4 linked regions of the Stegostoma tigrinum genome follow. The protein of the gene in region 3 interacts with the protein of the main gene of each other region in a pairwise test. Links are inferred from orthologs where the notes say so. Each region holds a gene or a part of one and is shown on either strand. Other genes may lie near its edges. The genes, in order: ptpn11a, stk16, rpia and atpaf2.

What was found.
Region 1: the proteins of rpia (region 3) and ptpn11a interact in binary tests that used the Homo sapiens proteins (3 or more experiments, as listed by UniProt). The two-hybrid records come from large-scale screens. The link is inferred for Stegostoma tigrinum from reciprocal best matches to the Homo sapiens genes RPIA and PTPN11.
Region 2: the proteins of rpia (region 3) and stk16 interact in binary tests that used the Homo sapiens proteins (3 or more experiments, as listed by UniProt). The two-hybrid records come from large-scale screens. The link is inferred for Stegostoma tigrinum from reciprocal best matches to the Homo sapiens genes RPIA and STK16.
Region 4: the proteins of rpia (region 3) and atpaf2 interact in binary tests that used the Homo sapiens proteins (3 or more experiments, as listed by UniProt). The two-hybrid records come from large-scale screens. The link is inferred for Stegostoma tigrinum from reciprocal best matches to the Homo sapiens genes RPIA and ATPAF2.

Annotation. Positions count from the first base shown.
Region 1 is NC_081379.1:13,632,184-13,639,720, reverse strand, and holds the start of ptpn11a (tyrosine-protein phosphatase non-receptor type 11), read right to left. Parts: upstream 3,045-7,537; 5' UTR 2,744-3,044; coding exon 2,730-2,743; intron 1-2,729. UniProt on the Homo sapiens protein: Acts downstream of various receptor and cytoplasmic protein tyrosine kinases to participate in the signal transduction from the cell surface to the nucleus. Positively regulates MAPK signal transduction pathway. Dephosphorylates GAB1, ARHGAP35 and EGFR.
Region 2 is NC_081360.1:100,738,187-100,746,202, reverse strand, and holds the start of stk16 (serine/threonine-protein kinase 16), read right to left. Parts: upstream 3,043-8,016; 5' UTR 2,931-3,042; intron 1-2,930. UniProt on the Homo sapiens protein: Membrane-associated protein kinase that phosphorylates on serine and threonine residues. In vitro substrates include DRG1, ENO1 and EIF4EBP1. Also autophosphorylates. May be involved in secretory vesicle trafficking or intracellular signaling.
Region 3 is NC_081354.1:175,268,308-175,275,476, forward strand, and holds the start of rpia (ribose-5-phosphate isomerase), read right to left. Parts: upstream 3,021-7,169; 5' UTR 2,984-3,020; coding exon 2,813-2,983; intron 563-2,812; coding exon 502-562; intron 1-501. UniProt on the Homo sapiens protein: Catalyzes the reversible conversion of ribose-5-phosphate to ribulose 5-phosphate and participates in the first step of the non-oxidative branch of the pentose phosphate pathway.
Region 4 is NC_081376.1:20,185,353-20,193,077, forward strand, and holds the start of atpaf2 (ATP synthase mitochondrial F1 complex assembly factor 2), read right to left. Parts: upstream 3,050-7,725; 5' UTR 2,869-3,049; coding exon 2,763-2,868; intron 658-2,762; coding exon 613-657; intron 1-612. UniProt on the Homo sapiens protein: Plays a role in the assembly of the F1 component of the mitochondrial ATP synthase (ATPase).

The sequences.
Region 1 (7,537 bases), on a different chromosome or scaffold from region 3:
CTAACCCGGTCAATCTCTCTTTCATGTGACAAACCCCTCATCTCTAGGATCAATCGAGTGAACCTCCTCGGAACTGTCTCCAATGCAACTCGATCCCTCCTCAAGTAAGGCCAAAACTGCGCATAGTACTTGTAAACCAAAATGTTTGCAACCATGGTGTTACATTTGACTCCAAGATGTGCTTCCGACCATACAACCACATCACTAATATCACTCATTTGCATTCCAAGACATCACCTAGTTCTGCTGCTGCCTCAGTTCATCTGCTGCAGAATCTCTCAATGATACCTTTATTACTATAAAAGGTATTTCAACAGATCATTAGCTGGCTTCTTACATTCTGTAAACTCAAGGAATCCTAAACTCGATGGCTGATGTCCTAACTTGCACCAAATCCAGTTCAATCATCACCTTCCCACTAACTGAAACACATTGGCCCCTGTAAAATTTTAATTATTTTCAAATCCCTTCATGGTCTTGCCTCTGATTCATAAATTAGAAGATCTGTAATCTTCCCCAGCACTACAACCTTCTGACTAATTGTAATCTTCAGATTCCAGTTTCTTGAGCATTCCTGATTTTAAATCAAGCCACCACTGATGATCAAAATTTCAGTAGCCAAAGACCCCATTTCACTATATTTCGGCTTCCTTATGATCTCTTTGACAAAGATTTTGGTCACCTACCCCAATATCTCTTATACTGCATGGTGTCAAATTTATGTGAACAGCATGGGACATTTTACTACATTCAAAAGCACTTTACAAACATCAGTAGTTGTTGTTTCTACACAGTTGTATAGCAACTCTTCCTGCTCAGTGCTGTCATTATCTCTGTACCATCACAAAAGCATTACCTGTTAGATGTTCTCACCCTCTTTGGCCAATCTGCTATGTGCCGGTCCTTTTGCAGTAACATGTGAATGTGACCCTCGTTCACTCATGTTTTTCTGCATACAACATGCAGTGTCATTTCCTTTCATTCTGATCCTTTTCTCTGTCTAGCAATGCTCCATATCAGTAAATGTGGGTGGGTCTGCTATGTACCATGTTTGGAAAAATGTGCAATTGAAAAAGGCTGAATCAACCCCACACTTCCACATGAATTGTACTATTAAACCTTGACATAACTGAAGTTCCTGTGGCAGTTCAATGCAACCACAGTCAGTATTTCCAAGAAGTAAAAGTACTGACATTTTACCCTGACACCCTAAACAAGGAAGCAAGATCCAACAGTTGAAGGGAATACAATTTTACTCAGAAGGCTACACTCTGAAAGTAACACCCCATGGCCTAAAGTTATTTTTTGTAGACAGCACAATTATCGTCAACTTTAGTTAATCCAAGATAATTCTGCCTATTTAAATCTTCATCTAGGCAGGGTTTCAAGAAATTCAGATGACGTGGAACAAATGGCTTTCAGTTGGAGGCAACAACACGTCTTTTGACCAAATGAGACACGGGTTGCAAGAAAGCTTATGAAAGCTGTGGGGATCACTAACATCTTGATAATTTTGTAGTTTTGCCTTCTGGTCCTAGATTAAAGCATATACTCCATTTTACCAGTTATGTCTAGCTATCACTAAGGCCTTGACCATACCTCATCTCAGATCTCTTTTTCCTCTGACAATGACTTTAGATATTTAATTCGCACTTTAATGTTTAAACTAGAACTATTCTTGTTCCTCTTCATTGCAATCCATGAAGGTCCTTTGCCAAACACCTTCACATAATGATCCAATCAGTGCTCTATAAAAAAGGCAGCATTTCAGTTTTCAGAAAAAAAACAGATAAAATGAACTGTCCCTCCTTGACAGAGTTCAGAGTAATTAGGAAAAATAATTTAACTTCAATTTCACATTTTTAGATTTCACATTTAAAAATCATTGCCTTTTCTTACCTTAGCCCTGAAGTTTGCATATTAGTTTTAATATTTAATTTAAATTTTTAATATTTAATTTTAATTTCTTTGCATCAGGCACAGTTTTAGAATAATCTGACCAAATTAAATTTGTTTCATAAATCCAAATCCCTCAACGTGATGAATCTTGCCTTACAAAATAGCTTTGAGAGAGGCTGCTCAGTACCTTATTCCACAATCCTTAGTGAATATCTTTGGAATTAAACAAAAAAAAAACAGTATTTTCACACAAGCTCTGATCCCTCCCATTCGCATCTCCTGTTATCAACACAACACTGGGCTCTTTTCTGCCCTTGTGGGCAAGTGCATATATACACCTTAAGGCATCGTACAGACGAAAAGCTTCCAAATCAGCATTACGAGTGTTCTACTTGTTGGGATATAGTCACCTATCCTTAGTTTTACTGTTATGTTTGCACATTCATCCGCGATTGGTGAATATGCAAAATCAATACAATCGTCAACACAGCACACCAGTCTTTGACCAACGACTTTTAAGTACAGGTAGCTGTCGCAGAGGTCAGTGAGGGATTGACAGCAATGTTTGAGCCTAGCTGTATACTCCAAGCGCCGTATTTTTGTTCAGTGACTGGCTACAGCCCATTTGTGAAACTTCCCCTCTGCTCCCTCAGGCTTCCTTAAGTTCAGGCCAGGTTATCATTGAATGTCAGCACTCCCCAGCGAGTTCCATATTTCACAGATTCCCCCTGTTGTGGCATAGCCACAGTCTCCGCCCAATACCCGCAGTATTCCCACCCGCCTCCCCTCACCAATACACCCATTCTTCCCTCATACACCCGCTCACCCACCTTCGGGATGTCATGGTGATGGACGGAGGGCACTCCCTCTCACACTGGCCTGCCGGTTCTTTTCTGCCTCCGCCGGTGATGGGTGCGAGAGTTGGTAGGCACTCTGCCTCTGCGGCAGCTCCTATGGGGCAAGAGGACCTAACTCGATCTCAGGCACTTCCCGCCCAGCGTCTGTGTCTCTGTGTGTGTGTGTCTCTCCCTACCCAGCTGAGGAACTAACTAGAAACGCAGCGACTGCGTCGCGGGGGGAAAAAAGTCATCTCCACCTACCCCCTCCCGGCCTACGGCGCTGGAAATCTACGTCTCCAACACACCGACCCGCGCACGGATATGACGCAGCGGCGTCCCCTTTCCCTGCAAGGCTGAGAGTAGACATCGAAAGAATAATGAATTATCACGCTAGGGCAGAGAATGTCGAGTTAACACCCCGAAACTCTCCGGCGCGCATGTGTAAAATTTGCATTTCTTGTTCCCAAACCCACACGAAGACCCGGTGACGTCACTCCACCAGACCAGTTCACTGAGCCGATTTGGGGGCCGCCATGTTTATTATTGGCAGGACGTGTCATAAAGTGCGCGCGCGCAGAGTTTTTCGCATGCGTATTGTGAACCTCTGGAAGTGGGGGTGTGTTATGAGGCATTGCAACCCGGAGAGGCTTTGTCACTTCAGAAACCAAGACTGTTCAGCCCACGTTTGATTGAGAATAATTCAGGTCGTTACTGGTTTGAATTTATTCATTCATTAATCGGGGTTAATTGATCTAAAGTAAAAGGATTAGGGCGGTATGTGGGGAGAAATGTTTCACGGTAGGTGGAGGCATGGTCTAGAATGTTCCACCCATTCTGGTGGTCGAGGCCGAAACCTCCGATAATGTAATGCCCCCCCAAAAAGCAAAAGCTGGAGAAAGTTAGTGGCTCTGGCAGCATCTGAGGAGTAAGAGGAAAACAGTTATCGCTTCTAGCCTGGTGAGCCTTCATCAGAATTAGTTTCGAAGAACGTTGCTGTCTATTTCTGAAGAAGGTTCACTGAACAGTAGCGCTGCTTCTCTCTCAGCAGATAATGTTAGAGGTGCTGAATTTAACTACTTCGGGTTCTTGTTTCAGAAACCTTCAAACTATCTGGACGGTTTTTCTTTGAATGTGCTGGAAGATGGGATAGTTTTCTCTCAACTGCCGTGAACGTGACGGGCTGAATGGCCGCTTTCTATGCTACAACTTTTCCGTGGTTCCATAAAGACGGTTTTGTGACACTTGTTACAATTTTGTCACAACAAAGTTAGCAAATTGAATTTTCTTTTTCAAACATTGGAAGCTGAATCAATTTGGTCATGAAAAGGAAAATAGAAAAAAAGTTTAAAAGTATGAGAACCTAATTCAGACAGAATTGTGGCAAAGGAGTGCATTGTAGGTCAGATCTTGATCTAATAGAGCAGTGAGGTTCTGGGTCTACTTTATTATTTGGTTCAGGGCTTGGGTAAGTATAACAGCATAAATGAAGCAGGGCAAAACAGCAAACAAAGGAACAAATTCAGCTGGGTCTGGTACCATTTGTGGTGAGAAAACAGGTTCACAACTAATTGTAGCTGGGAAAAGCTGGCATATATGTGGGAGATGGGAGAGGGGAAGGAGGTGGAGATGAGGCCCAGAGAAAGAACAGCTTTTGGATAATTAAACAAATGGATAATGGTCAGCATTGGAAATAGCTACTAAAGCCAAAAATGGATTGGCTGTGATGAAAGCAGCCAAAGTGATGACAAGGTGGGGCTGGTTGTGTGAGGGATGTAAAAGACATGGAAGAAGGTGCTCGGGCCTTATGATTAGTGAACTCTGTATTGAGTTCTGAAGCCTGCAGGTTCCCCAAGCAGAAAATGAAATGCAGTTCTTCCAGCTGGAGCACTGCAGCACCCCTGGGAGAAATGTTAGCCAGAGCACACAGTTGTGCCTTGAAGCTCAGGGTCATTTTGGTTTTCTTTGGACAGAACACAGGTGACTATCCACTCATTCCTTTGTCTGCCAACTACTGTTCTGTTCTGGGTGCATCTCTACCTGCTGTTTATTCCCCAGCCCCTGTTTTCAGCGTGATGTAATCCCATTTTCCCTGTGACAGTCAGTCCTGAAGATGAGTCATTGGGCCTGAAAAGTTGACTTTTTTGTGCACAGATGTTGCCAGACCTGTGGACCTTCTCCAGTAATTTGTTTTGATTTGTTTCAGATTTCCAGCATCTATAATTTTATTTTAGTGAGGTAAGGGAGTTGGGTAGCATTGAGTCAGTCTTTTGATTCCCACAAGGTCAAAATGATGATACTTTAGACTATAGACTTGATGGAACTCCATTTTATTTCTTGCATCTCCATGTACCTAACACAATAGCAGTCCATTGGTCACATGACTAAGTTATGGGGAGGTGATGGCCTAGTGATGTTATTGCTACACTGTTAATTCAGAGACCCAGATAACCTTCTGGGGACCTGGGTTTGAATCCTGCCATAGATGGTGGAATTTGAATTCAATAAATATCTGGAATTGAGTCTAATGATGACTGTGGATCCATTGTCGATTTGCTGGAAAAACCCCATCTGGTCCACTGATTTCCTTTAGGGAAGGAAACTGCCGCCCTTAGCTGGTCTGGCCTACATGTGATTCCAGACCTACAGCAATGTGGTTGACTCTTAACTGCCTTCTGGGCAATTAGGGATGGACAATAAATGCTGCCTAGCCAGCAACGCCCTCATCCCTCCGATGAATTTTTAACAAAGTTAGAACAGTGAGGTCCCCTTGCACATTCAGCAATTAGTTCCTATTACTTTCTCCAACAGAAACAATGTCCTATTAATTAAAAGAAAAATGGTCTGCCTTTATATTAGTGTAACAGTTCCAGTTATCTGTTTTCCTAAAGATCAATGTTAATCATATTTTAAAAATGAACACTTTACAGTTTATTAACTTGTTCTCTTCCTTTAAGCACAAGTATTTTTTGGCTGTAAAATGTTGTCTCTGAGCTAAACAGCACACTGCAGTTGCTCTTTAAATACTTCAAGTTCTGCTTTATTGTTCTGCAGTGCAAGTTTTTCGTGCAGCCACTCTTGTGCCTTTCTTCCAGCTTTTCAACTTCCTGCTTTACCCATTCTTCTTGGAATTGATCCAGTTTCTGTTTCTGTAGTTCCAGAGAATTGTTCCCCAACTGGACATAGGGAACTCCAGATGCAGTTTAACACTAAATTAGTGTCAGCTTTTTGAGTTCTTATCCTTTGATGTGAATGCTGATAGAGTTTTGAAGTGAGATTCATGTTTACCTTCTCTCTGACCAGTATACTTTGCAATTTCTATTATGTGTACTTTTTATCAAGTCATGATATGCCCTGCTTAGTCTTCACTTTTCGGGTATGTCACTTTTTTGTCTTAAATTTTCATTTCTGATGTGCTGTAAGTTTCTGGTAATCTACCTGAGTTTTAAATAGGCTCACTGCTGCCCCCCCCCCCCCCCCCCCCCCCCCCCCCCCCCCCAGTTCAGAGCTCCATCTTTTGTATTGGCCATGAGAGTTTCAAATACCACGTGGCCACTTATCCATGTGCGCTCAAGTGATACTTTGTGTTTTTATGGGTTTTGTTTTTTTCCCAGTCTGGGGGTATCCTCACGTAACTCTTTCTCTAGTACTTTGACTGTATCAGTGCCTGCTGTCACCCAGAACTGGAAAAGTTAATCCATTTTGCTTTCAATTTCTAGTCTTTCAAGTTCACCTGGCCCATCTCTGACTCTTTCCTTTAATCCTTAATTTTTCTGTCTTTGCCCCCTCTTGCAGGGATAGACTGTCTACTAATATTAGTTACAAATCCACCAACTCCCACAGCTACCTCGGCTACATTTGCTCTCACTATTTTGAAGGGACCGTTACCTTTGACATTCTGGCATCCCTTTATTGCCCCAACTCTTCATCTCCCTCCCGAAGCACTTTTTTATAAATGGCAGGAAATGCAATACATTGTTTTATCACCACTCTCCTACTGTCCAAAGCCCTTAATATTTCTTTCAGGAGATGTAAATCTACTTGTGCTTTCTTTTTTCAATCTAGTCTACTGGCTTCAATGCTTATAATGTAGCCTCCACTTCGCTGGGGACACCACTTTGCAGAACGCACCTCGGTTTGCAAGCATGACACCAACCTTCTGTCACTTGACACAAGTACACCATTTAGCTCTTAGAATTTCTTTTGCCCTAGGTCAACTGTAGTGTCTGAGTGAAACCCATTGCAAGCTGGAGCATTTTCCATTTAGGCCTAAAGAAGTCACTGGACTCAACGTTAACACCATTTTCAGATGCTGAGTTTCTCCAGCTATTTGTTTGTTTTAGACCTCCAGCATCTGAAGGCCTTTGTATTATTCGACTTAGGCCTTTTAGATTTGATGTTGCATTGAATAATTTCAGACCGTGAACTCTCTCCTCCATTTTGTTTCCTGCCCTCTCTCCATTGTTTTTAGGTTTTGCATGCCGCAGTGCTGACCTCTTAATTATGCTCTTAACAGCTACTGTTAAACATCTAATCTGCACCTAGCTGTCTCTACAACGTGAACTCTCCCTTTGCCTATTGTTGTGACATTTGAGTTTATTACTCTGTCTCTCTAACATTCCCTTAAATTCCACCTGCTTCCCCTCCTCTTGGTTAGTACTTGGAACAATTACATTATTGCAATTTAGAGATTGGGCTGAAAAAGAGATAGCTGAATGTTCCCATGTTTCGTAAGTGATGGAGGTAAATGGTGGGGAAGTATTCCTGGCAAAGGAGTATCTGTTGTACTGGGAGAAGATGCA
Region 2 (8,016 bases), on a different chromosome or scaffold from region 3:
GAACCGTTTTATCATTTGGTGCCTTTGTAGCTGAGTTGACTAGACATTCTCCCTATTTATTCCAGTTCCCTCACCCCATCCCCCTCTCTGATGAAGGGTCTAGGCCCGAAACGTCAGCTTTTGTGCTCCTGAGATGCTGCTTGGCCTGCTGTGTTCATCCAGCCTCACATTTTATTATGTTGGTTTGTGATATGTTGTGATGCCAACAACCTGGGTTCAATTCGTACAACAGCCAAGGTTACTATAAATAAACTGTCCCTCTCAACCTCTCCCATCACCTAAGGGGTAGTGACCTTCTGGTTAAACCACCACTCATCTCTCTCTCTCTCATGGGCGAGCAGCTCCACAGCCTGGTTAAAACTATGGTGACTTTAAGTTTTGAAAACAGACACCAACAAGTGACCCTTAAAATGAACTTAAATGCCACTGACAGCAGTTGAAACAATTAATCTGATAGGAAACAATACAATCAGCGTAACTAGTAGTCCCAAAAGACACTGATGCATCACAAAGATTAGCAAAACTCTGTTAATAGTTACACAATAACCAGGATCAGGGTCAGCTAGAAGTGGAAATTAACTTCCAACTGTTTCACTTAATTCCAACTTGAAAGCAGAGACTGCCTGTTCCTTCTTGCAACAGCATTTCCATTCATGTAACTAGAGTGGGATATGATTAAAGTTTAATTTGTGTCCTAGTTTTACACAGTGTCCTGAACGACAAACAGTTCGGTGACGTGTACTACATAACACAGGGTGTTTGTTACTATACAGTTTTGTAAACTTGCTTCCGAGGAAATATCTTTTCAGACCTTCCTGTGGTGAGACTGTTGAATAATTTAAAACCCTCTTATCTGAATAGAAACCATAAGATCTGCAGATGCCGTAAATCAGAAACAACAATAGAGATTGCTGGAAAAGCTCAGCAAGTCTGGCAGCATCTCTGTAGAGAAATCACAGTTAATGTTTTGGGTCTGGCGACCTTCCTCAGAACTGAAGGTAGCTAGGAAAGCGAAGAAGTGTCTAGGCCAGAAACATCAGCTTTCCTGCTCCTCTGATGCTGCCTGGCCTGCTGTGTTCATCCAGCTCTACACCTTGTTATCTTGTAGCTAGGAAAATGTTGGTTTACATGTAGAAGGTAGGGTGGGGTGATGGAGTTGTAAACGATAGGTTGGGATACAGCCTAAAGAGAAAGAAGAACATTTGGACAAAGGAGTGGATAACCATCTGGCTGGGAGGGTGAATAGCTGTTAATGGGGGCTGTTATTGGTTAACAATGGGTAGCGTATAAAGACAGGCTATGTGATAACAAGGCCTCACACATGAGATTAGGGGCTAGGACATGGGAGAGAGCAGGCTGATATTGAGTCCAGAGGGCTGCAAGGTCCCCAAGCAGAAAACCAGGTGTTATTCCTCCAGCTTGCACTGAATTTCACTGGTAATGCTACAGCAAGCCTGAGACAGAGATGTTGGCCAGGGGACAGGGGGTGTGTTAAAGTGGTAAGAAATTGGAAGAGTGTTTTTTTTTGTGGGCAGAAGGTAGACGTTCTGTGATGCGGTCACCCAGCTTACACTTGGTTTCCCAAACGTAGGGGAAAGCACATCGTGAGCAGTGAATGCAGTGGCTCGACTGTGGGATGTGCAGGTAAAGTGCTGCTTCACCTGGAACGTATGTTTGTGCCCTTGAATACTGAGGAAGGAGGTGGTAACTGGGCAGGTGTTACATCTTCGATGGTTGCAGGGGAAGGCACTGTAGGGCTGGCGGTGGGGGGGGGGGGGGGGGGCGAGGAGGAGGAAAGAGAGGGGGGTGTGCTGTTGTGAGTTAATGAAGAGTGTCCTAGGGTATCCCAGAGGGAAATGTCCCTGCAGTCCCATGGCAATTGGGTCATTGTATCAACTACAGTCACAAACCTTATTTCATCTGATGATCTTCCTCACCCCACTGTCTCCACCATTAGACACTGTGCCTTGATTATACAAACATTTTCATGATCAACTAATTTAAGATTATCTAGTTGGGCTCACTTGTGTTTCCTACAAAGTACATATACACATATGCAGGGGATCCTGTCCTCTGCAGAAAGGGTGCACATGTACAGACTCTGCACCTGTTACAATGAAAGAAAGGCAAGGGGAGTATATATTGTGCTCCCGAGATGCTGCTGGGCCTGCTGTGTTCATCCAGCCTCACATTTTATTATCTTGGATTCTCCAGCATCTGCAGTTCCCATTATCACTGGGAGTATACACTGCCTGGTTTATTTCTCCATAGCAACACTTTGATCAGTCAGTCAACATCCCAACTAGTCAATATCACTTACTGTTGCGGTATAAATTGCTATTCTCTGGGCAGTTTGACGTTCTTGTGATTCTGCCCTGAGGAGTGCAAGATAATTTTTTTAAAAAAGGAACTTCATCAGCTTGTCACTCTATACCAGGGGGGGTCAAATAAAGCACACTGCACCACAAGTAGGAACAGGAGCAGGTTAATCAGCCTTCCAAAGGACGTGCCCTAACTGCAGGGAAGACTGAGAGAGAGAAAAACAGGAGAATGCTATCCGGCACCCCCATATCTGCTTCACTATTCGACAGGGTCATGGCAGATCCTATTATTTACTTTTGTTATCCTAAGGGTTTAATGCAATTAAAAAAGCAACTTTTGGTGGGGGGGGGTGGAAGGGTGATTGAGGAAGCTCACAACAAATAACTGAGCATGCGCATAACGATTCTCTTGAAATCATGCACCTGGATCCGATGGTGCCCATGCGCCACCCCAAAGCCTCATGGGTATTGTAGTTCCCTCCCCCGGCCGACCTATTTCTCAACCTGACGACGCGTCCCCAACCCCTCGTTTGGAAAGTCGCGGTTCGCTTTCCCTTTTTAAAAAATATATATATTAAACACACACAAAGCAATTACAGTCTCCCCTACCGCCGTTAACCGATGATTTTCTTCACCGTCAATCACTTCACGAAGGAGACCGCGCCACAAAGACTCCCGGCTGCTGCCACTGGCGGCTCACAGGGGCGCCGCCGCTGCTCGCGGCCGTCAGGTCTCGCGAGAAGAGCCGCCAGTCCTCCCGGACACCACCCTGGCATCTCGCGAGAATTGGAGCCCCGGGAAATTTCCCCCACCACGTGCTGGTTGCAGGGCCAGGACCAAGCCTCGAAGTGTGCCCCCGAGAGATGGCGGTGCCAGTTTATTCTTGCTTTTAAAGTTACTCCTCCAACAGATAAAATTGCATGCAATTTACAGAATTCCCTACAGCATGAAAGGAGTTCATTCCGTCCACACCAACCCACCAAAGGGAATTCCACCCAGACCCTGTACCTCCCAAGGCTAACCCACCTAACATGAACATCTTTGTACCATGGGGGAGAAAAAACACAGGGAGAACATGCAAACTCCACACGGAGTCATGTGAAGCTGGAATCAAATCCAGCTCCTTTGCTAACCACTGAGCCACCGTCACGCCCCAATTGCCTGTCCCCTCCCTCCCTTTCACAATTGCGAGCAGCAGCAGAGGCAAGACGGACCCGGAAGACTGCAGCTAAGGTAAAGCAGTTTATTTTTAAAATTACTTACCGGTAGCGGGCAGCGGTGTTTTTTTTCCTCTTTCAGAGAAGGAGCGGGAGCATCAGAGGAAGTGACGAGGACCAGAGGGGCAGCCGGGAAGGAAAGCAGTGAGTATAAATACTCACCCTTCGACGCCAACGGCCATTTTGAGTGCGAGCAGCAGCAGAGGCAAGACGGACCCGGAAGACTGCAGCTAAGGTAAAGCAGTTTATTTTTAAAATTACTTACCGGTAGCGGGCAGCGGTGTTTTTTTTTTCCTCTTTCAGAGAAGGAGCGGGAGCATCAGAGGAAGTGACGAGGACCAGAGGAGCAGCCGGGAAGGAAAGCAGTGAGTATAAATACTCACCCTTCGACGCCAACGGCCATTTTGAGTGCGAGCAGCAGCAGAGGCAAGACGGACCCGGAAGACTGCAGCTAAGGTAAAGCAGTTTATTTTTAAAATTACTTACCGGTAGCGGGCAGCGGTGTTTTTTTTCCTCTTTCAGAGAAGGAGCGGGAGCATCAGAGGAAGTGACGAGGACCAGAGGGGCAGCCGGGAAGGAAAGCAGTGAGTATAAATACTCACCCTTCGACGCCAACGGCCATTTTGAGTGCGAGCAGCAGCAGAGGCAAGACGGACCCGGAAGACTGCAGCTAAGGTAAAGCAGTTTATTTTTAAAATTACTTACCGGTAGCGGGCAGCGGTGTTTTTTTTCCTCTTTCAGAGAAGGAGCGGGAGCATCAGAGGAAGTGACGAGGACCAGAGGGGCAGCCGGGAAGGAAAGCAGTGACCATATATATCAGCAAGGCGGCTTAACCCGAGACTCTACAACTGTAGTGTCTCCCACCCGCCGCCCTCCTCTAACCTAGTTAATAAGGTAAGGTTCATTCTAAACTTTCTCTATTGAACATAAGTTTGTTATTAATTTGTTATTATTACTTGAAGTGAGCTTTCTGCTTTAGTATTGAGTGGGTGTTCAGATAAGTGGGGTATGGATGCTAGGGCAGTTGCTTGCTCCTCCTGCAAAATGTGGCAGTTGGGAGATGTGGCACACGTCTCCGCTGGCTACATCTGCGGGAAGTGCACCCAGCTACAGCTCCTTGAAAACCGTGTTAGGGAAATGGAGCTGGAGCTGGATGAACTACGGATCATTCGGGAGGCAGAGGGGGTAATTGAGAGGAGTTATCGGGAGTTGGTCACTCCTAAGGCTCAGGACGAGGATAGATGGGTTACAGTTAGGGGGAGGAAAGGGGACAGACAGACAGTGCAGAGATCCCCTGTGGGCATTCCCCTCAGCAATAAGTATACCGTTTTGGATACTGCTGGGGGTGTTGACCTACCAGAGGAAAGCCATAGTAGTCAGTTCTCTGGCACTGAGCCTGACACTGTGGCAAAGAAGGGAAGGGGGCAGAATAGAAAAGTACTCGTGGTAGGGGACTCGATAGTTAGGGGAATCGACAGGAGATTTTGTGGGCAAGATCGGGATTCCCGGAAGGTATGTTGCCTCCCTGGTGCCAGGGTCCGGGACGTCTCCGATCGGGTGTATAAAGTTCTGAAAGGGGAGGGTGAACAGCCAGAAATCGTGTTACATATTGGCACAAATGATATAGCCAGAAATAGGGTTGAGGATATAAAAAGTGATTTCATGGAGTTAGGATGGAAGCTGCAGAGCAGGACGAACAGAGTAGTGTTCTCTGGTTTACTACCGGTGCCACGAGATAGCGAGGTGAGGAACAGGGAGCGGGCGCAGCTGAACACGTGGCTACGCAGCTGGTGTAGGAGGGAGGGCTTCAGATATGTTGATAATTGGGATGCCTTCTGGGGAAGGTGGGACCTGTACAAGAAGGACGGGTTGCATCTGAACTGGAAGGGGACCAATGTCCTGGGTGGAAGGTTTGCTCGAGTAGTTCCAGAGGGTTTAAACTAGTATGGCAGGGGGGTGGGAACCTGAGCTGTATACCAGAGGTGAGCGTTGATGCAGGTGAGGCAGTAGCAAGAGGTAGACCAGCTAGTGGGAAGGATTTTCCTGGGAAGGAACCAAGGGATCGGTTAAAGTGTGTTTGCTTTAATGCAAGGAGTATCAGGAATAAAAGTGATGAACTTAGAGCATGGATCAGTACCTGGTGCTATGATGTTGTGGCCATAACAGAGACATGGGTTTCTCATGGGCAGGAATGGTTGCTGGATGTTCCAGGGTTTAGAACATTTAAAAAGAATAGGGAGGGGGGAAAAAGAGGAGGGGGTGTAGCACTACTAATCAGAGAGAGTATCACAGCTACAGAAGCTTCCATTGTCGAGGAAGATCTGCCTACTGAGTCAGTATGGGTGGAAATTAGGAACAGCAAGGGAGTAGTCACCTCGTTAGGGGTTTACTACAGGCCCCCCAATAGCAGCAGGGAGATTGTAGAAAGCATAGGTCGACAGATTTTGGAAAAGTGTGGACGCAGTAGGGTTGTTGTAATGGGTGACTTTAACTTTCCTAATATTGATTGGAACCTCCTTCGAGCAGAAGATTTGAATGGAGCTGTTTTTGTAAGGTGTGTTCAGGAGGGTTTCCTAACGCAGTACGTTGACAGGCCGACGAGGGGAGAGGCCATTCTAGACTTGGTGCTCGGAAACGAGCCGGGGCAGGTATCAGATCTTGTGGTGGGAGAGCATTTTGGTGATAGTGACCATAACACTCTCTCATTCTACATAGCTATGGAGAAGGAGAGGATTAGGCAGAATGGGAGGATATTTAATTGGGGAAGAGGAAACTATGATGCGATTAGACACGAGTTAGGAAGCATGGACTGGGAGCAGTTGTTCCATGGTAAGGGAACTATAGACATGTGGAGATGGTTTAAGGAACAGTTGTTGGGAGTGATGAGTAAATATGTCCCTCTGAGACAGGCAAGAAGGGGTAAGATAAAGGAACCTTGGATGACGAGAGCGGTGGAGCTTCTAGTGAAAAGGAAGAAGGTAGCTTACATAAGGTGGAGGAAGCTAGGGTCAAGTTCAGCTAGAGAGGATTACATGCAGGCAAGGAAGGAGCTCAAAAATGGTCTGAGGAGAGCCAGGAGGGGGCACGAGAAAGGCTTGGCAGAAGGAATCCGGGAAAACACAAAGGCATTTTACACTTACGTGAGGAATAAGAGAATGGTCAAAGAAAGAGTAGGGCCGATCAGGGATAGCATAGGGAACTTGTGTGTGGAGCCTGAGGAGGTAGGGGAAGCCCTAAATGAGTTTTTTGCTTCTGTCTTTACGAAAGAATCGAACTGTGTAGTGAATGAAACCTTTGAAGAGCAGGTGTGCATGCTGGAATGGATAGAGATAGAGGAAGCTGATGTACTGAAAATTTTGTCAAACATTAAGATTGACAAGTCGCCAGGCCCGGATCAGATTTGTCCTCGGCTGCTTTGGGAAGCGAGAAATGCAATTGCTTCGCCACTTGCGAAGATCTTTGCATCCTCGCTCTCCACTGGAGTCGTACCTGAGGACTGGAGAGAGGCAAATGTAATTCCTCTCTTCAAGAAAGGAAATAGGGAAATCCCCGGCAATTATAGACCGGTAAGTCTCACGTCTGTCGTCTGCAAGGTGTTAGAATGGATTCTGAGGGATAAGATTTATGACCATCTGGAAGAGCATGGCTTGATCAAATACAGTCAACATGGCTTTGTGAGGGGTAGGTCATGCCTTACAAACCTTATCGAGTTTTTTGAGGATGTGACTAGTAAGGTTGATGAGGGTCGAGCTGTGGATGTGGTGTATATGGACTTCAGTAAGGCATTTGATAAGGTTCCCCATGGAAGGCTCATTCAGAAGGTCAGGAGGAATGGGATACAGGGGAACTTAGCTGCTTGGATACAGAATTGGCTGGCCAACAGAAGACAGCGTGTGGTAGTAGAAGGAAAATATTCTGCCTGGAAGTCAGTGGTGAGTGGGGTTCCACAGGGCTCTGTCCTTGGGCCTCTACTGTTTGTAATTTTTATTAATGACTTGGACGAGGGAATTGAAGGATGGGTCAGCAAGTTTGCAGACGACACAAAGGTCGGAGGTGTCGTTGACAGTGTAGAGGGCTGTTGTAGGCTGCAGCGGGACATTGACAGGATGCAGAGATGGGCTGAGAGGTGGCAGATGGAGTTCAACCTGGATAAATGCGAGGTGATGCATTTTGGAAGGTCGAATTTGAAAGCTGAGTACAGGATTAAGGATAGGATTCTTGGCAGCGTGGAGGAACAGAGGGATCTTGGTGTGCAGATACATAGATCCCTTAAAATGGCCACCCAAGTGGACAGGGTTGTTAAGAAAGCATATGGTGTTTTGGCTTTCATTAACAGGGGGATTGAGTTTAAGAGTCGTGAGATCTTGTTGCAGCTCTATAAAACTTTGGTTAGACCGCACTTGGAATACTGCGTCCAGTTCTGGGCGCCCTATTATAGGAAAGATGTGGATGCTTTGGAGAGGGTTCAGAGGAGGTTT
Region 3 (7,169 bases):
GAAAGTTACAATTAGAAATCACTGAAGGTTTTTTGGATCAAGCAGGGAGAAACTCCTCTCCCCGCCCCCTACACATCCCCCCAATAACAGACAAGAGCAGCAGGAACCAAAACAGCTAAACAAAAATCAAAGGAATGAGAGAAGGCCAGGAGAATTTATATACATGGTGAGCATGTGAGGAGACTACGCTAGGAAGTGTATCAGACTATAATTGAACAGCACAAAAGATCCACAGACTTGCTAAGTATAATACAACCTCACAAACAAATTTTTAAAAAAAAATCACACAGAAGGAGAATAACTACGTTGGATCGAACAGAAAACTTCTGTAAACTATCATTCAGTAACCCTCTAAATAAATTCACAAAGCTAAGGGTGAGGTGTTGGGGAGGGGATAGGGGTTAGGAATTATAAAACAATGCTTCTTTCAGATACAATAGCAGAGACAACAAACACAAAATGAAGGCAATTTCATAGCTTGATATCTTAATCAGCACCCACCTATTCTGTCCACAGCATACACTATCGTGGATCCACTTCCGATACCCAATGCTTGGTTGTTCTGAGACAAAAACAACAAACAGGATCAGTTTTTTCAGGTCAAAGTGACATCGTGTTCTTTGTTGTCAGGTGTAGCTGCTCCCACTGTGAATATTCACAAACAAAATTAAACTAGGTCCTAGAACATGTAATTTCCTGTAATAAACGTGTTGAATGGTGCACAAAAGTGTGAACCCAAGGCATTCCGAACAGCATTACTGTTTTGATTCAGAGATAGCAGGAACTGCTGATGCCGGAGAATCTGAGATAACAAGGTGTGGAGCTGCATGAACACAGCAGGCCAAGCAGCATCAGAGGAGCAGGAAGACTGACGTTTTGGGCCTCGATCCTTCTTCAGAAATAAAATCTTCTTCAGTTCCATGAAATTCAGATTTCTTGTTCAAATACTTGAACAACTGGCTTGGCAGCAGTCCTTGATAGCACTCTGGAACAGTTATCAGTTTACTGCTTGCCCCCAGTGATATGCCAGTCTAGTTACTGCACACCAAGTTGACCTGAATGACCCTCAGTCCTGTCCATTCTGGCTTAGCCATGCAATACTTGTGTTATTGCTATAACTATCATTTGGACACACTTGTGCCCATTGGGATTTGGTGTTTTTTTTTGCTGCTGTGTCAAAAATACCAGCATGTTCCACTGAAAAACTGAAGTATAATTCATTGACCAAAACTGAGAACATGGAATAGCTGCGGAAATTAAACTGAGGTGCGTCAGTGTAAAAGCTGAGGGAAGGGAATGCAGTGGGAAACTCTATAAATCGGCAAATTTAAAGAAACAGAAAAACCAGAACAATGAACTTTACACTGAAAATGATATTCAGAAGTAATTCAGATTGCACTGTCAAAAATCTGGGAAAATCAAAATCCAACAGTCTCAGTCCTGAGGGTACCAAATTTTAGATATGGGACCTGTAGTACTGCCAAGCCACCAAAACTGACCAACTTTATTTTTTCTGAAGAAGGGTCCCGAACCAATACGTCTGCTTTTCTGCTCCTCTGACGCTGCCTGGCCTGTGTACATCCAGCTCCACACTGTGTTATATCTGACTCCAACATCGGCAGTTCTTACTATTCTCCAACTTCCATCTTATGTGTGGACCTGCACTTGCTGCAAAAGTCACTGGGAAATCAGGGAGTACTGGAAAGTCAGCACATCTGGTCATCAGATGAGACATTACACCTAGGGCATATGCCACTTAGTTTAATGCCAAGAGCTAGAGTTCTGCCTGGCATCCTGGCCAAAATCTATCCTTTGTCCAACATCAATGAAATGAATCATCCCATCGTCATCATTTTGGGAGCTTGCTGAGCCACATTTCCAACATTGGAACAGCCGAGGCGACACTTCAAAAGTATTTAACAGGATGCAAAAGAGCATTGATACTTTCTGACATTGCGAAAGATACTGAACAAATGGGTGTTTCTTTCCTTGTTGCACAATATCCACACAACAGATTGGTAGAATCTGTAAGGGGTTTAGTTTTCTTTATCTCTCCTAACCAGAAGGTCAACAGCAGAACCTTCACAAACTACTATATGAAGGCAACATTGTTGAGGGGGGTTTCTGTCTCGCCTGGGCTGCTAACCATGGGGCAGTTCTCACTGCACAATTGAGGAAGCATTAAATTTCAGGCGCAGCATACGGTTGACGAGGGTACAGAACTCTGATTCAGCCAAATCCTCGTTTACACAACTCACACTAAACAAAAGTTAAGTGATAAAACTCAGCAGAAGTCAGTCCCTCACAGCTGTGATCTGTGGCCATGAGTACGCGGGAATTTCAGAAGGGTAAACCTCTCCCAGACCCCTTCACATTTTACAAGGGAGCAGCACGCTGGTTTCAAAAAGCAATTTAGTGTAAATGAATTTAAAGACTCGTCTAAAAACTCTGTCCTTCACTTTTAGAACTGGGCATAAAGACTTTATCAAAGGAGAAAAAAGTTTGTTCATTAAATAAAAAACACAAAAGTCATATTTGTGAACTTTTCCAGAGCTATCTGCTGAGCAACATATTCACTGTTTTAACCCCGGGCTGTAAACGTAAACCTACAGTTTAGTACAGGGCAGTAGCAATCCATTGGAAACACATTATCATCAACCCCCTACTCCAGCCCCTCATCCCCTACGTAGTTCAAAATACCGTCCAGAGAAAACTGACATGTCTGTGAAATAGCAACACAACTGACTTAGTGCAATTTTTTTAAAAAATGAAATGTGTATTAAAATGCATCCGTGGTACATTCTTTGCTCACTTGCACGTGATTATCCACAGCCATGTAACCAGCTTTCCTTTTTGCTTCTTCCTCCATGCCTTCGGTGAACTTCCTCTTCAGTGTAAGAAGCTGTAACTGTTGATGCCGCGGAACCGCTCTTAACCCGAAGCGCAGCCCCCACGAGCAGACTCCAGGAAGCCTCAGCCACATTGCCACTCCCCTCCCCACCTTGCAGAGCAGAGCAGCTCGGGATGGGGCTGCAGCTCGTAGTCAACCTCCTTTCTCAGCTGGGAAATGTAGTCTTCCATGCTAAAAGAATAAGACTACATTTCCCAGCCTGCACTGTCTTGTGTTTTGTCATTAAAGCTGAATTTGGTTTTTGCTGCACACTTTTCCTTCTGGAACTGTTACTGTTTCATGCATTCCACAGGGTATTGTGTGATCATTTGGGTAAAAATAATGGGGGAAAGATACAAAACAACAGGAGATTGGCTTGAGGTAATAATGCTTATTTGAGGAGCTGTTGCAAACACAACAGACCAAATTGTCTCCTTTTGAGTAATAACACGTATGATGCTGTTTTACTTCACCTTGCAATTTCTTTGACACCATCGCACAGTTAGCACTGCTACCTCGCAGCGCTAGGGACCTGGGTTCAATTTTAAGCCTTGGACAGCTGTCTTTTTGTGTTTCCTCCGGGTGCTCCTGTTTTCTCCCACAGTCCACCAATGTGCAGGTTAGGTGGATTGGCCATGCTAAATTACCCTGCAGAATCTGGGTATGTGCGGGTTAGGTGGATTGGCAATGGTAAATTACCCTGCAGAATCTGGGTATGTGCGGGTTAGGTGGATTGGCCATGCTAAATTACCCTGCAGAATCTGGGTATGTGCGGGTTAGGTGGATTGGCCATGCTAAATTACCCTGCAGAATCTGGCTATGTGTAGGTTAGGTGGATTGGCCATGCTAAATTACCCTGCAGAATCTGGGTATGTGCAGGTTAGGTGGATTGGCCATGCTAAATTACCCTGCAGAATCTGGCTATGTGTAGGTTAGGTGGATTGGCCATGCTAAATTACCCTGCAGAATCTGGGTATGTGCAGGTTAGGTGGATTGGCAATGATAAATTACCCTGCAGAATCTGGGTATGTGCAGGTTAGGTGGATTGGCCATGCTAAATTACCCTGCAGAATCTGGGTATGTGCAGGTTAGGTGGATTGGCCATGCTAAATTACCCTGCAGAATCTGGGTATGTGCAGGTTAGGTGGATTGGCAATGGTAAATTACCCTGCAGAATCTGGGTATGTGCGGGTTAGGTGGATTGGCAATGATAAATTACCCTGCAGAATCTGGGTATGTGCAGGTTAGGTGGATTGGCAATGATAAATTACCCTGCAGAATCTGGGTATGTGCAGGTTAGGTGGATTGGCAATGGTAAATTACCCTGCAGAATCTGGGTATGTGCGGGTTAGGTGGATTGGCAATGATAAATGTAGAGTTATGAGAATAGGGTAGGCGTCTGGGTAGGATGCTCTTTGGAGGGTCAATGCACCAATGGACCAAATGGTCTCTTCCTGTGCCGTTATGATTCAATGTGTTAAATTATAAAGTTAGATTTTCAAATGAACCTGTTCAAAGATGTTATTATTCATGTCTAGAGCAGATGCATTTTAAATCCTGGATACTATCACTGACCACAAGAGCCCCTTAGAGTTAGATTTCATTGCTATAAATGTCATTCACTTGTTCATGAAAGGATATTATTTTTCATTAGATTTTCATTAGAACCCCACCTAACCTGCTCATCATTGAATTGTGGGAGGAAACCGGAGCACCCGGAGGAAACGCATGCAGACACGGGGAGAATGTGCAAACTCCACACAGACAGTTACCTGAGGTGGGAATCGAACCCGGGTCCCTGGCGCTGTGAGGCTGCAGTGCCAACCACTGAGCGACCGTGCCACGGTGCATTATGAGTAGCCCAAGTACATTATGATTGGAAACAAAACAAAATATTGACAATACAGATGTGTCTTGAGCGGAGGTATTGTACAGAAAATAGCAGCAGGACATCATCCCAAATAACTTAACAGCCAGTGAAGGCATTGTTGGAGTGTAGAAACCTCCAAGTTGGAAAACCAGCACAAACAGCAAAATAATAATGACCTGCTTTTGTGTTATGAATATTAGTGATAACACAGCTGAATTTCTGGAACGGGAACATGTTGATCACATCCCTTGTAAACATTTGGTACCTGAGTTCCAAAACATAAGTGACAACATTAATAAATATTTCCTCACTAACTTGTGTAGAGGCATTGTTACACACTTCCGGAGCAAGTGTGATTTGAATCTGAGTCTCTTGGTCCAGAGACAGTGTCACTATCACTGCGCCACAAGAGCCCCAGTTTGCATTTGCACCGAAATCTCAGTGTGTTCCAACTCCAAAAGTGTTTTATAGCTAATGGATCATTTTTTCAGAATGTTTTTCAGTATGTTTACATCGTCAGTTGTACAGTGCTTTGGGATATTCTGAGGTGATGAAATAAACCATATCAAAGATGTGGATGCTTTGGAGAGGGTTCAGAGGAGATTTACCAGGATGCTGCCTGGACTGGAGGGCTTATCTTATGAAGAGAGGTTGACTGAGCTCGGTCTCCTTTCATTGGAGAAAAGGAGGAGGAGAGGGGACCTAATTGAGGTATACAAGATAATGAGAGGCATAGATAGAGTTGATAGCCAGAGACTATTTCCCAGGGCAGAAATGGCTAGCACGAGGGGTCATAGTTTTAAGCTGGTTGGTGGAAAGTATAGAGGGGATGTCAGAGGCAGGTTCTTTACGCAGAGAGTTGTGAGAGCATGGAATGCGTTGCCAGCAGCAGTTGTGGAAGCAAGGTCATTGGGGTCATTTAAGAGACTGCTGGACATGTATATGGTCACAGAAATTTGAGGGTGCATACATGAGGATCAATGGTCGGCACAACATTGTGGGCTGAAGGGCCTGTTCTGTGCTGTACTGTTCTATGTTCTATGTTCTAAATGTGCATTTTCATCTCCTTATGCTATTATTCCAACTGATTCAGAGAAAAACAGTTAAGTTGCTGGCTGTTAACAGCAAAATATTTATCTCCAGTTTTGAAAGGAAAGGCCATAGCCCACAAGCTTTAGAACATTATGTATTGCAGCCGGTTAATAGCTGACACCCACGACAATTGGAAACAATACAGTTACTCCCTCCATTACAACAATTCTCAGGAACTACTCTCACCATGCTGGAAAGGAAATGAATGTTCCATCCTATTGAGTTTGCATAAAGCTATAATCAAAGGGAAAAGTCAAAAAGAAAATATTGGAACCTGAAGGAGGTGGATAAAAAGACTTCACTTGTAGGCAGTCACAGAGTGTTTACAACACAGAAGGGAGTTATTCAGACAGTTCTGAGGACGGGTCACCAGGTCCGAAACATTAACTCCGATTTTTTTCGTCACAGATGTTGCCAGACCTGCTGAGCTTTTCCAGCAACTTTTGTTTTTCTTCCTTATTCAGACATTTAGCGGTGCAACACAGCCTGTCCCACTCTCACTGCCTTTTCCCTACAGCCAGGCTGCCAAAAGTTGCCGTCAACTGCTGCCTTGGTGATCCTGTCACATGGTTGGGAGTGAGGAGCGCAATCAAACTCCTTCCTAGTAGCAAGGATCCAAAACCAATGCTAACCCAGCTGAGGTCTTCAAAGCTGGAGGTCAATAGCTGATGAAGGAGCTCCCTGAACCCTTTCAGTGTAAGTGGGAGCAAGGGACCATCCTGCCAAAGCAGAAAGGTGTCTCCATTGCTCCCTTGTGTAAGTGAATCTCAGAGCATTCATAGCATATTCTCAGTCTCCTCTATTGACCCACAAAATCTTCATTGGAATTCTTCTGAAGTGCTCAGTGCAACAGGATCTATGGCTAGTAAGTGAAAGTGGTTTCAGAAAAAGTCAAGGCATCACTGATGGGGATGTTTGCAGTTAGAAGATCCAGGAGAAATGCCAAGAACAGAATAAGGGCCTCTGCATCACTTTGTTGACTGGACCACGGCCTTTAACACAGTCAGTGGGAGGGCCTTAGAAAGGTCATGCCAAAAATTCAGCTTTCCTGAAAAATTCATCACAACAACTGAACAATTCCATGACAATACACTCATTATAGCAGCACTGATGTCTATGACATGTAAGTGCTCCTCTTTTTTATGAATAGTCTTCTCAACAGCCTGTTTTTTTTGTGTTGTTAATTTGAAGGTGTTCCACTTGCCCAGCAGGAGTTTTCCCATTTGCTCACTAAGCTCCTCGTTTGCTTCCTTGCTGAGCGTCTAACTGGGAATGCTCCTACAGATCCCCCCTTCCAAATGGAGTCACTAACTGCCA
Region 4 (7,725 bases), on a different chromosome or scaffold from region 3:
TAGGTTTGAAAACAAATGAGAATTTTAAAATTGGGTTAGCAAGCAGAGAAATGGTGGATGAATAGGAATTGGTGAGAGTTAAGATTCAGGCAGATAGTTATGAGCTGAAGGTTATGTGAAGCCAGGTAGGAGTATGCTCGAATGTTGTATAAAAATAAGAAAGACATAAATGTGATTTCAACAGATGAGCAAGGCAAGGATGGAGATCACCATCATTGACTGGATGACTCAAAGAAATTCAACAGTAGGGCGGCACGGTGGCTCCGTGGTTAGCACTGCAGCCTCACAGTGCCAGGGACCCAGGTTCAATTCCAGCCTCAGGCGACTGTCTGTGTGGAGTTTGCACATTCTCCCTGTGTCTGTGTGGATTTCCTCCGGGTCCTCTAGTTTCCTCCCACAGCCCAAAGATGTGCAGGTGGATCGGCCATGCTAAATTGCCCGTAGTGTTCAGGGATATGTGGGTTATAGGGTGATGTGTCTGGGTGGGATGCTTCAAGGGGCGGTGTAGATTTGTTGGGCCAAAGGGCCTGTTTCCACACTGTAGGGAATCTAATCTAATCTTAAATAAAAAACACTACTTTTAAATATCAGACTGGAAAGCACAAGTCTTACCTTCCCCTTGAGAAATGCTAACATCCTGATAAAATTTCTTCCGCTCTAAAAAACAGTAAAATTACAAAAATAATTAGATGACTTTTATTTATCTGTATTTGCTGAAACTTGCACCACAGCAACAGTGCATCTACAATAATATACTCCAAGTGTGCACAGCAATTTAACCCAGTTACAGCATAAGCGACTTACATAATTACCCAAATCAAGCACGATTTTTTGGGACTTCTGTCCAGGTACCTTCAAAGAATCAAGCAAATACCTCTAGTTTGCTGAATTATTACACTGGTCACAGCCACTGAGGCCATTGTAGAACAGTCCTAAAGGGCTCAGAACCTGTACTGTATTCCACCACGTTGCTCATCAGAAAAATTTACTAAAAACTTAAAATTTCAAACAAGCAAAGGAAAGGTGTCTTGACAGCCAGGCCAGGCTAATATTTACTTGACCTTATTCTTGTTCTAAACATAGATTACAACCAAAAACTCTAAAATACCAGTTTTGGATCCCATGCTGCTTAGGAAGCCATTCTATACATATCTTAACAACAATGTGTACAGAAGGCAAGCAGTGGTACTTGTACAGCTAATTTCACAGGTTGTGGACAGAGAGTGATTTACAGCCAACGTGCGGCCTCTTCTGGGGTGCTCGAGCCCATCTGTTTATGACAACGATAAAAGAACATTTTCATGACTTTTGTTAGAGGATAAACACTGGACAGAATTTCCCTGCTCTTCTTTAAATGGTCTAGAACTTTTGCGGCCACTTGAGTGGTCAGAGGGAGCTCCAGTTTAATGCCTCGTTCGAAAGAACTAACTCTGTGAGCTATGTTTTTTTTGTATCAACCTGGATTCTGTATTCGAGTCTGTGGAACAGGATCGAATCTACAATCCTGAAGCTCAGAGGCTCAGGTGGTCCCACGGACACACGGCTGACTCTCTGTAATCGATTCCCAGTTTCCAATCTGAGATAATGGGAACTGCAGATGCTGGAGAATTCCAAGATAATAAAATGTGAGGCTGGATGAACACAGCAGGCCAAGCAGCATCTCAGGAGCACAAAAGCTGACGTTTCGGGCATAGACCCTTCATCAGAGAGGGGGATGGGGAGAGGGAACTGGAATAAATAGGGAGAGAGGGGGAGGCGGACCAAAGATGGAGAGTAAAGAAGATAGGTGGAGAGAGTATAGGTGGGGAGGTAGGGAGGGGATAGGTCAGTCCAGGGAAGACGGACAGGTCAAGGAGGTGGGATGAGATTAGTAGGTAGCTGGGGGTGTGGCTTGGGGTGGGAGGAAGGGATGGGTGAGAGGAAGAACCGGTTAGGGAAGCAGAGACAGGTTGGACTGGTTTTGGGATGCAGTGGCGGGGGGGGGGGGGGGGTGGAGAGCTGGGCTGGTTGTGTGGTGCAGTGGGGGGAGGGGACGAACTGGGCTGGTTTAAGGATGGGCAACTCATATTCCACCTGGGAACCCTGCAGCCATATGATATCAATGTGGACTTCACCAGTTTCAAAATCTCCCCTTCCCCTACTGCATCCCTAAACCAGCCCAGTTCATCCCCTCCCCACACTGCACCACACAACCAGCCCAGCTCTTCCCCCCGACCCACTGCATCCCAAAACCAGTCCAACCTGTCTCTGCCTCCCGAACCGGTTCTTCCTCTCACCCATCCCTTCCTCCCACCCCAAGCCGCACCCCCAGCTACCTACTAACCTCATCCCACCTCCTTGACCTGTCCGTCTTCCCTGGACTGACCTATCCCCTCCCTACCTCCCCACCTATACTCTCCTCTCCACCTATCTTCTTTACTCTCCATCTTCGGTCCGCCTCCCCCTCTCTCCCTATTTATTCCAGAACCCTCACCCCATCCCCCTCTCTGATGAAGGGTCTAGGCCCGAAACGTCAGCTTTTGTGCTCCCGAGATGCTGCTTGGCCTGCTGTGTTCATCCAGCCTCACATTTTATTATCCCAGTTTCCAATCTCTCAGATTTTCTGAAGAAGGGTCCCGACCCGAAACATGAATTTTCCTGTTCCTCCGGCCCGCTGTGTTCATCAAGCTCCACACGGGGTGACCTCTAACTCCAGCATCAGCAGATCTTACTACCTCTGAATGTTATGACATGTTTGGCTTCCATTGCTCTGGCTCACCCACCCGCTGCTGGATACTGCCGCCGCCACTCCACCGTCCTTCCCATCATCTGGGAACCAACCCCAGGCCTGAGCCGAGGGAGCACCCGGGCCCAGAGACGGCACAACATGGTCCCGCAGCCTCGGCAGAGGAATCGCACCAACGGGGCAACGGCTGCTGCCGTAAATCGCTCACTGAATCCACCACTGAGCTTCGGAAGACATTCACATTCAGCAAATACTCTCCTTCAGGCCGTCGCCATGTTGCTGACCTGCCACCCCGCAAAACATGCGTTGACGGATGTGCCCTGTATCCAATCACAAGGCGGCACACGGGTCAATCAAATAGCAGGGGGCGGGGCTTCATGGAAGCTGGTCGGGGATGATCCAATCACGTGGATGCCTTTTATCAAAAGTTTCCAATCACTGAAAAGTTCCTAACCGTGACTTTACCTCTCAGAGTAGAGGATGTATTTTAATTCCTGTGTAACACTGAAAATTAGTGATAAATAACAATGAATCTCTTTCTGTAATACCTTTTATGGTGTACAAGTTAATTAACCACTTTCTGAAGCGTAGTCACTATTTTAATGTAGGAAACACAAGAGCCAGGTTGTATGTACACCATAAACAGTAATGGAATTAAAGGCCGGATCAGCATACTCCTACTAAAGTTCTGATTGAAGCTCGTATCATAAGATTTGTTTCCTTGTGCTCCAAGTGCCATGTCAGCTTTTGCGTAAAAATGAATGAATACGAGATTTCAAATTACAAGAGAAACAGTTATGAGCTAACTGGATATCAAAGTGTGGGGCTGGATGAACACAGCAGGCCAAGCAGCATCCCAGGAGCACAAAAGCTGACTTTTCGGGCCTAGACCCTTCATCAGAGAGGGGGATGGGGAGAGGGAACTGGAATAAATAGGGAGAGAGTGGGACGCGGACCGAAGATGGAGAGAAAACAGGATAGGTAGAGAGGAGAGTATAGGTGAGAAGGTAGAGAGGGGATAGGTCAGTCCAGGGAAGATGGACAGGCCAAGGAGGTGGGATGAGGTGGTAGGTAGGAAATGGAGGTGCGGCTTGAGATGGGAGGAAGGGATGGGTGAGAGAAAGAACAGGTTAGGGAAACAGAGATAAGCTGTGAGGCTGGATGAACACAGCAGGCCAAGCAGCATCTCAGGAGCACAAAAGCTGACGTTTCGGGCCTGGACCCTTCATCAGAGAGGGGGATGGGCAGAGGGAACTGGAATAAATAGGGAGAGAGTGGGAGGGAAACCGAAGATGCAGAGAAAACACGATAGGTAGAGAGGAGAGTATAGGTGAGAAGGTCTCTGATGAAGGGTCTAGGCCCGAAACGTCAGCTTTTGTGCTCCTGAGATGCTGCTTGGCCTGCTGTGTTCATCCAGCCTCACATTTTATTATCTTGGAATCTCCAGCATCTGCAGTTCCCATTATCAGAGATAGGCTGATGGGGGTGCGGCTTGGGGTGGGAGGAAGGGATGGGTGAGAGGAAGAACAGGTTAGGGAGGCAGAGACAGGTTGGACTGGTTTTGGGATGCAGTGGGTGGAGGGGAAGAGCTGGGCTGGTTGTGTGGTGCAGTGTGGGGAGGGGATGAACTGGGCTGGTTTAGGGATGCGGTGGGGGAAGGGGAGATTTTGAAACTGGTGAAGTCCACATTGATACCATATGGCTGCAGGGTTCCCAGGCGGAATATGAGTTGCTGTTCCTGCAACCTTCGGGTGGCATCATTGTGGCACTGCAGGAGGCCCATGATGGACATGCCATCTAAAGAATGGGAGGGGGAGTGGAAATGGTTTGCGACTGGGAGGTGCAGTTGTTTATTGCAAACTGAGTGGGGGTGTTCTGCAAAGCGGTCCCCAAGCCTCCGCTTGATTTCCCCAATGTAGAAGAAGTTACTCCGGGTGCAATGGATACAGTATACCACATTGCAGATGTGCAGGTGAACATCTGCTTGACATGGAAGGTCATCTTGGGGCCTGGGATAGGGGTGAGGGAGGAGGTGTGGTGGCAAGTGTAGCACTTCCTGCGGTTGCAGGGGAAGGTGCCAGGTGTGGTGGGGTTGGAGAAGATTGTGGAGCGGACAAGGGGGTCGTGGAGAGAGTGGTCTCTCTGGAAGGCAGACAAGGGTGGGGATGGAAAAATAGCTTGGGTGGTGGGGTCGGATTGTAGATGGCGGAAGTGTTGGAGGATGATGTGTTGTATCCGGAGGTTGGTGGGGTGGTGTGTGAGAATGAGGGGGATCCTCTGGGGGCGGTTGTGGCGGGGGCAGGGAGTGAGGGATGTGTTGCGGGAAATGCGGGAGACACGGTCAAGGGCGTTCTCGACCACTGCGGGGGAAAGTTGTGGTCCTTGAAGAACGTGGACATCTGGGATGTGCGGGAGTGGAATGCCTCATCCTGGGAGGAGATGCGGCGGAGGCGGAGGAATTAGGAATAGGGGATGGAATTTTTGCAGGAGGGTGGGTGGGAGGAGATGTATTCTTGGTAGCTGTGGGAGTCAGTGGGCTTGAAATGGACATCAGTTTCTAGTTGGTTACCTGAGGTGGAGACTGAGAGGTCCAGGAAGGTGAGGGATGTGTTGGAGATCGCCCAGGTGAACTTGGGGTTTGGGTGGAAGGTGTTGGTGAAGTGCATGAACTGTCAAGCTCCTCTGAGGAGCAAGAGGCGGCGCTGATACAGTCATCAATGTAATGCAGGAAGAGGTGGAGTTTGGGGCCTGTGTAGGTGCGGAAGAGGGACTGTTCCACGTAACCTACAAAGAGGCAGGCATAGCTGGGGACCATGCGGGTGCCCACGGCCACCACCTTTGTCTGTAGGAAGTGGGAGGAATCGAAAGAGAAGTTCTTGAAGGTGAGGACGAGTTCGGCTAGGCGGATGAGGGTGTCGGTGGAGGGGGACTGGTCGGGCCTGCGGGACAGGAAGAAGCGGAGGGCCTTGAGGCCATCTGCATGAGGAATACAGGTGTATAGGGACTGGACGTCCATGGTGAAAATGAGGTGTTGGGGTCCAGGGAATTGGAAGTCCTGGAGGGGGTGGAGGGCGTGGGTGGTGTCACGGACGTAGGTGGGAAGTTCCTGGACCAAAGGGGAGAAAATGGAGTCTAGATAGGTGGAGATGAGTTCGGTGGGGCAGGAACAGGCTGAGACAATGGGTCGACCATGGCAGGCAGGTTTGTGGATTTTGGGAAGGAGATAGAAATGGGCCATGCGGGATTGGGGAACAATGAGGTTGGAGGCTGTGGGTGGGAGGTCCCCTGAGGTGATGAGGTCATGGATGGTGTTGGAGATGATGGTTTAGTGGATGAAGTCATGGATGGTGTTGGAGATGATGGTTTGGTGGATGAGGTCATGGATGGTGTTGGAGATGATCTCAGGTAACCAGCTAGAAACTGATGTCCATTTCAAGCCACCGACTCTCACAGCTACCTAGAATACACCTCTTCCCACCCACCCTCATGCAAAAATTCCATCCCCTATTCCCAATTCCTCTGCCTCTGCCGCATCTGCTCCCAGGATGAGGCATTCCACTCCCGCACATCCCAGATGTCCATGTTCTTCAAGGACCACAACTTTCCCCCCGCAGTGGTCGAGAACGCCCTTGACCGCATCTCCCACATTTCCCGCAACACATCCCTCACACCCCGCCCCCGCCACTATTGCCCCCAGAGGATCCCCCTCATTCTCACATACCACCCCTCCAACTCCGGATACAACGCATCATCCTTCGACACTTCCGCCATCTACAATCTGAACCCACCACGCAAGCTATTTTTCCATCCCCACCCTTGTCTGCTTTCCGGAGAGACCACTCTCTCCGCGACTCCCTTGTCCGCTCCACACTCCCCTCCAACCCCACCACACCCGGCACCTTCCCCTGCAACCGCAGGAAGTGCTACACTTGCCCCCACACCTCCTCCCTCACCCCTATCCCAGGCTCCAAGATGACCTTCCATGTCAAGCAGATGTTCACCTGCACATCTGCCAATGTGGTATATTGTATCCATTGCACCCGGTGTGGCTTCCTCTACATTGGGGAAACCAAGCGGAGGCTTGGGGACCGCTTTGCAGAACACCTCCGCTCAGTTCGCAATAAACAACTGCACCGCCCAGTCGCGAACAATTTCAACTCCCCCTCCCATTCCTCAGACGACATGTCCATCATGGGCCTCCTGCAGTGCCACAATGATGCCACCTGAATGGTGCAAGAACAGCAACTCATATTCCGCTTGGGAACCCTGCAGCCCAATGGTATCAATGTGGACTTCACAAGCTTCAAAATCTCCCCTTCCCCCACTGCATCCCAAAACCAGCCCAGCTCGTCCCCTCCCACCACTGCATCCCAAAACCAGCCCAGCCTGTCTCTGCCTCCCTAACCTGTTCTTCCTCTCACCCATCCCTTCCTCCCACCTCAAGCCGCACCTCCATTTCCTACCTACTAACCTCATCCCGCCTCCTTGACCTGTCCGTCTTCCCTGGGCTGACCTATCCCCTCCCTACCTCCCCACCTATACTCTCCTCTCTACCTATCTTGTTTTCTCTCCATCTTTGGTCCGCCTCCCCCTCTCTCCCTATTTATTCCAGTTCCCTCTGCCCATCCCCCTCTCTGATGAAGGGTCTAGGCCCGAAACGTCAGCTTTTGTGCTCCTGAGATGCTGCTTGGCCTGCTGTGTTCATCCAGCCTCACGTTTTATTATCTTGGATTCTCCAGCATCTGCAGTTCCCATTATCCATGAGCTAACTGGAGCTGTGGACTGTGTAGCCCCCACATCCTGAGAGATTTCATCCTCTTAAAACGGGTGCCAGATGAAGTAGTAAATGTGCTTGCGTTAATTTTGTAGACTTTGTCAGATTCTGGAAAAGTTCAATCAGACTGGAGCATGGCAGCTATAGTTGGTTTCTGAAGCATAACTCTTAATTTGAAAACGTTCCTCTTGAGATGTTGCCTATCCGTCCCACAGAATTCTTGTCA